2 linked regions of the Oryctolagus cuniculus genome follow. The protein of the gene in region 1 interacts with the protein of each later gene in a biochemical or structural test. Links are inferred from orthologs where the notes say so. Each region holds a gene or a part of one and is shown in the gene's direction. Other genes may lie near its edges. The genes, in order: MAPK8IP3 and MAPK10.

What was found.
Region 2: the proteins of MAPK8IP3 (region 1) and MAPK10 form a complex in vitro, tested with the Homo sapiens proteins (3 studies listed by BioGRID, with this or other methods). The link is inferred for Oryctolagus cuniculus from reciprocal best matches to the Homo sapiens genes MAPK8IP3 and MAPK10.

Annotation. Positions count from the first base shown.
Region 1 is NC_091450.1:33,394,596-33,397,122, reverse strand, and holds part of MAPK8IP3 (C-Jun-amino-terminal kinase-interacting protein 3), read left to right. Parts: intron 1-451; coding exon 452-634; intron 635-711; coding exon 712-901; intron 902-1,013; coding exon 1,014-1,133; intron 1,134-1,203; coding exon 1,204-1,284; intron 1,285-1,357; coding exon 1,358-1,425; intron 1,426-1,509; coding exon 1,510-1,658; intron 1,659-1,875; coding exon 1,876-2,047; intron 2,048-2,120; coding exon 2,121-2,234; intron 2,235-2,341; coding exon 2,342-2,380; intron 2,381-2,470; coding exon 2,471-2,527.
Region 2 is NC_091439.1:81,604,747-81,608,663, reverse strand, and holds the start of MAPK10 (mitogen-activated protein kinase 10), read left to right. Parts: upstream 1-1,346; 5' UTR 1,347-1,786; intron 1,787-3,917. UniProt on the Homo sapiens protein: Serine/threonine-protein kinase involved in various processes such as neuronal proliferation, differentiation, migration and programmed cell death.

The DNA of each region.
Region 1 (2,527 bases):
ACGTGGAAGAGGCCCCGTCTGATCCATCAGCGAAAGGTGGGTGGGCCACGGCACGGACCACAGCTAAAACCACTCCAAAGGCTCATGCTGATGCGAAACCTCCCCCTGCAACACGTCCACACATGGTAGAGGCTGGCAGAGGGGCCGAGGAGGGGCGGGGCTTTCCTCCTGATAGACAGCAGGCTCATCCCAGGGCCCACGGCTCACTGGCGCCCAGGCTCCAGGAAGACGTCCCACAGGGCTTCAGGCAGTGCCATGGAGCTGGGCAGCTCTGAGTGGACAGCCAGAGTCCAGCTGGGAGGGAGCAGGTGGCTGGCCTGAGCAGGTGGCCCCATGCAGGGACCCAGTCCATCCTCGTTCAGGTGGACTAAGACCCTGCAGCCCCAGGTTCGTGAGCTCTGGGTGTGGCCTCCGCGGGGGCTCACAGGGCTGTGACTCCCCCTGCCCCCAGCTGCCAGCGACAGCGACTACCCTCCGGGGGAGATGTTCCTGGACAGCGAGATGAACCCCGAGGACTCTGGTGCCGACGGCGTGCTGGCCGGCATCACCCTGGTGGGCTGCGCCACCCGCTGCACCGTGCCACGCAGCAGCTGCTCCTCCCGAGGGGACACCCCCGTGCTGGACAAGGGGCAGGGTGAGTGCTGGGTGCCTCGGGCTCTCTGGCCCTCGTCGCTGTCTCTGCCCAGCCCAAGCTCACCCCTCCTCCCACAGGAGAAGTGGCTGCCGTCGCCAACGGGAAGGCCAACCCTTCGCAGTCCACAGAGGAAGCCACGGAAGCCACAGAGGTGCCAGACCCCGGGCCCAGCGCGCCAGAGGCGGCTGCTGTGCGGCCCGGGACCCTCACGGAGCACGTCTTCACCGACCCAGCCCCAACCCCGTCCGCAAGCACCCAACCTGACAGGTGGGCCCTCCGGACAGGAGCAGAGGGAGGCTGGCCACGGCGGGCAGGGCCTGGGGATCCCAGGGCAGGCGCGTGCTCCGAGGGCCACCTGTGGCCATCGTCCCTCCCACAGTGAGAATGGCCCAGAGCCGGACGGGAGCGTTGCTCAGCCGGAGCCGGAGCCCAGTGGGGACCCTGCGGGGGCCAGCAGCAGCGCCGCGCCCACCATGTGGCTGGGAGCCCAGAATGGCTGGTAGGTGGTGCGGAGGGGGTGGGGGCAGAGGGGCGGGGAGCCTCTGGCCCACCGCCCGCTCCTCCCACAGGCTCTATGTGCACTCGGCCGTGGCCAACTGGAAGAAGTGTCTGCACTCCATCAAGCTGAAGGACTCCGTGCTCAGCCTGGTGTACGTGACCCCGAGTTGGGGGCGGGGGGTCGGGAGGGGTCCTCGCTCAGCCTGAGCCCCCCTCCCGTTGCAGGCATGTCAAAGGCCGAGTGCTCGTGGCCCTGGCGGATGGAACTCTGGCCATCTTCCACCGTGGCGAGGGTAAGCCTGGCCGCTCAGCCTGGCGTGCGTAGGGGTGGTGTGCGGGCCCCGCCAGGCTGAGCGGCTGTCGCGGGCTCTCTGCAGATGGCCAGTGGGACCTGAGCAACTACCACCTGATGGACCTGGGCCACCCGCACCACTCCATCCGCTGCATGGCCGTCGTGTACGACCGTGTGTGGTGTGGCTACAAGAACAAGGTGCACGTCATCCAGCCCAAGACCATGCAGGTGGAGGTGAGGCCGGGCAGCTCTGCCGCAGGTCATGTGCAGGCCCCGCCCCTGCCCCTTGGCCTCCCCCAGGGGCCTGGCCCTCCGTGAGCCAGGCAGGTGCTGGGTGGGGGCTTGGGGGCGGCCCCCTGGCAGCGTGACCCCGAGGCTGCGACAGGCAGTTCCAGGTTCCCCGCCCCTTCCGGTCCCTCCCACTCCATGACCAGCCTCCACCACCCCGCAGAAGTCATTCGACGCCCACCCACGGCGGGAGAGCCAGGTGCGGCAGCTGGCGTGGATTGGCGACGGGGTGTGGGTGTCGATCCGCCTGGACTCCACGCTGCGGCTGTACCACGCCCACACCCACCAGCACCTGCAGGACGTGGACATCGAGCCCTACGTCAGCAAGATGCTGGGTGAGGGGCTGTGCTGGGTGGGGCAGCGTGGGGGCCCCAGCCCCGGCACACACACTGACCACTCCCCCCACAGGCACCGGCAAGCTGGGCTTCTCTTTCGTGCGCATCACGGCCTTGCTCATTGCCGGCAACCGCCTCTGGGTGGGCACTGGCAACGGAGTCGTCATCTCCATCCCCCTGACGGAGAGTGAGTGACCCCCGCCTGCCCCGGGCCTGCGCGGGCTCCTGCCCAGGGTGGGGCTCCGCGACCTGGCTCCTGATGGCCTCTCCTCCCCCTTCTGCCTCCCTGCCCAGCTGTGGTCCTGCACCGAGGCCAGCTCCTGGGGCTCCGAGGTAAGTGCAGGGCGCCCACCCCGGCCCCGAGCGGCTGCGGCGTCCGTGCTCCCGCCGGCCGGCTCAGCCCCTCTGGCTCCTCTGTCTCAGCCAACAAGACGTCCCCCACCTCTGGGGAGGGGGCCCGCCCCGGAGGCGTCATCCACG
Region 2 (3,917 bases), on another chromosome or scaffold:
TGTGAAGACTAAAGGTAATCAACTTTTTTGAATTTGAAATTAGAGCAAAGAGACATCAAAAAACTTGTCCAATGGACTAAAATGACAGAAAGCTCACCATATATATATATATATATATATGTATATATATATTTGTAATTTTCTTCCTGAACAAAACAGCAGTAACAATAACAAAAACACTAAAAACTTTTGTGGTCCCATGCAGTTTATGATGTACTTCACTGTCCACAATTACTACCAAGTTTATGTGTTGACTGTTATGATTTTTCCATTAACATATGGAGAAAGCCCCTGACTCATATAAGTAGGATAGCTCTAAAACCATTTGGATTTGTGTAAACCCAGCCCTAGGACTGGATTGCAATAGTTAGAAACCCACCCCAAAGGTGTTTAAGTGAACAAAGAATTGCATCATATCATGTAATTTGAGAAATCCAAGGGCTGGAGTTGGTTTCAGCAAATTACATAGTGAAAATTTTCCTTATGTACAACAAGATTTTAAAAAATTTGATGAACTTAATTTTTTTTTTTTTTAGTAAAACTAGTGGACTGTTCTTGTTGCAAGAAACTATTTATAGATATAAAATTCTCTGGAGACTTAAAATACCCTTGTAATATTCAAAAACAAAGCAAATTACTTAAATAAAATTTGAGATATTTGCAGCAAATAGTAATAATGTTATTTGTACCAGTTTTCCAGGGAATTATCTGCAATTAAAAAAAAATCTTGATTTGTTAAATAATCAGTATTTTCTTTCTACACTCAAATTGCAAGCTCAGCATTAGTCTGGTGAGTTTGGTTTAGTGGTTGTTTATCAGGATTTTTAGGAAAACAGCAAACAGGGAAGGGGAAGAGTGCGGTGCAAACGACCCTGGGGTCCAGGCAAGACTAGTGCTCCCTTCTCCCCCGACGTGATTGTGCATCTAGCTTGTTTTGATATTTGGAGGTACTGCATGGGTCTTCCTGCTGTTTACAAAAAGCTCCAGAGAGGTGAAAAGCAGAGGTTGCCTGCATTTGAATATTTTTTTCCGTCTGCGAATTTGCGAATTTGTTCCTCAGTCAGGGCTGCAGGGCAAAGGGACAGAGCTGCGCCGAGGAAATTGTTTTTCTGTGTTGTGCAGAAGGCTCCCGGATGGAGTTGCAGATTCCGGCTTCCAAGGCACCCCGTTCTTTTACATTTTGCCCGGTCCTCATTTCAGCAGAAAACGCTGGAGCTTGTAGCCGCACATAGACTTTTTCCTCTCTCTCTTCCCCCCTTGTACCCCTCCCTAGACCTCTCTGGGCTTTGACGTCATGTGTGCTCCTTTCGGTTGCCATAGAAACCCCATTCCCCAAGCCCTCTGTCCGTCTCCTCTGGTAGGTTCCACAATGGTACCGGCAGCATCACGCTGCACAATGGTTTCCAGGCAGTGAAAGAGGGTGATTCAGCAAGCCACTCGTCCTCGTCGTCATCTTTTTTTTTCCTTTTCTTTTCTAAACCTCCCCTTCTCTTTTTATTTTTATGGGGGTGGGTGGTGCTTATTACATGCTTACCTTTTTCTTTTCTTTTTTCATTTTTACAAATTTCTTTTTTTCGCCTCACCCCTCAATTTCTAGGGGTGTGAGTGAGTTTAAGATTGGGCTTTCTTGGAAATCACCTGTCCATCATTAATTTTAAACCATTTGCCCACCTCTAAGGAATCTCCTCCTTGTCACAGTTCGGAATGTGGTTAATGAGAAGCAAGTAGGGAGGATTTCTGGGGCAAAGACTGCCGGATCAGGACCCTAGTTCTCAGGCACGGAATGGTAGGTGTCTATTTGCTCATTCTCGGCTCCGACCTGGGTTTGGAGGGTGGGGTGATTGCTCCTGGTGGGGTGGGAGGGGGAGTTGAAGTGGGGAGGTGGGCAGGGAGATGGGGTGGGAAGCAGGTGAATCAAGCGAACTCTCCAAGGCCAGAAACCACCAGCATTTTCCTCTGTGCCGCACACCTCTTCCTAGACCCGGGCGTGTTGAAGCCTTGCTGTTTGGAGTGAGGGGTGACAGAAGGTGGGAGGGAGCATTCTTATTGTGACCAGGGGACTTTAGACCAATGCACAGCTATAGAAGGGAAGATCTTGAGGAGCAAATACATTGGGGGGTGGAGGAGGAGGAGGAGGAGAAGAGAGAAAACAGCTGTGCTTGTCAGAAGTGCTGACCTCAGTACCATTTCTGAGAATTGCTATGGGTTCCATAAAACATTAAAAAAAAATCATGTCTTTTAGTACGCATTTATGTTTACTCCCTGAGAGGTATAACTTAAATAAATATTTGGAATTATGTTTAAGTAAGGGATGGTAATTATATGTATTTTAGGTGCAAAAGCAATGGCACTACTCTTGCAGAGCAACTCCAGGTTAAATCTGGGATGGGAAGAGGAGCACAGAACAGGGGTCAGGCTAGAGATAAGACGAATCATTGACACTGCAGTCACATAGGTAAGGGGTCACTTTAAGAAAGTGATCTCCTAGTCACACCAGGCAGATTTCTTCTTCATTGTTTTTTAATGGCAAGATTCCCAGGTATTCTATACTGGGATACTGTGTCCCCTAGAAATGTCAGAGCTATTTTGGAAAAAAAAATACAGGTGTATCATAGTCAGTGAGCATGTCAGTTTATCAGAATATTGGTATTTGTGCCTTCAGGAAAATAAATGTGATATATTGGAAAATCTTCAACTAAGTCAGATTATATAGATAGTCCAAGAAAATTATATATATATATATACATATATATTTATCCTTTTTCCTTTGAATCTGAAGACAGAGTCTCTGTTTTTACATCCTTAAACAAATAACTTCCCAAGGTACGGCAGTTGCAGCCACAGGAAAAGAATGGCTTGTCCCATGGCAGTAGGCTCTGGAGCTGTCACAGGGCTGTTTACATGGGCAGCCTTTGCTGCAGAGCCTGGCAATGTCTATACAGCAGCCCTGTCTGCTTCTGGTGTGTTGATGGTAACTTTCACGAGCTGACGGGAAAGAGGCAGGCTAAGTCATATGGGACAGGCCACCGCTGAGACACAAGGAAAATGGGTGTTGGTACACCAGGCATTGCCAGCCCAAGGTCCAGTTTCTCCCTGCCAGCTGCTGGACCATGGAATATCCCACAGAATGCTGACCAATGGCCTAAAATGGTTGCAGTGGTGACCATTTCGCCCAGGGAGTCTTCTGTAAATTTTCTGCTTTAGGTAAGCATGCATGTTGTGAGTATAGGTAGCAGGGCTCCTGAGTGAGCTCACAGGCTTCTGACCCCTGGGTCTTAGGACTGGACAGTTTGAATGGAGCAATTCTGCTGCCCCTCGTATGTACTCCCTTCTTTACCTTGAGCTTATTCTCAGAATGGACAGAAAGTCTTGGGTTATCTTCTTTGATCACATGGTGCAAACGGGATTTTTGCTCCCCCACAATGAAACTAGAAAATCAGATGACAAAGGTGGCATGACCTTAATTATTAGCCTTCCTGTTTCCTCATTTACATATCCTTCCCTCCTGCTGGTGCAAATTAAAGTATCTTTGAGGGGCTTCCTGTTCTTACAAAATCTTCACAGTTTCAGTACAAAGATTCTTGGTGATGAGGCGATAAGAAATGAGATGCAGAGTGGAGACATCAGCTGCCTCCAGCTTCCTGCCTGCTCCCCCCAAGAGCAGCATCTGCTGCTGGGAGGAGTGTGTTTGCCTCACTGGAAGGGGATGTTTATGAGCAGATCCCAGAGGGACTGAGTGTGGTTTTTGCTGTCATTGTCTGGTACGTCTGTAGCTATCAGTATTTAAAGGTTTCATAGTACGTGGTCCATATTTTTCAAGGTTAGAGTGAATCAGGAGTGTGTGGGTGCAATAGCATATAAGTATTTAAAATTTACAGGACATTTCATGGGATTTCCCTTGTTAGTGTATCCTTCAG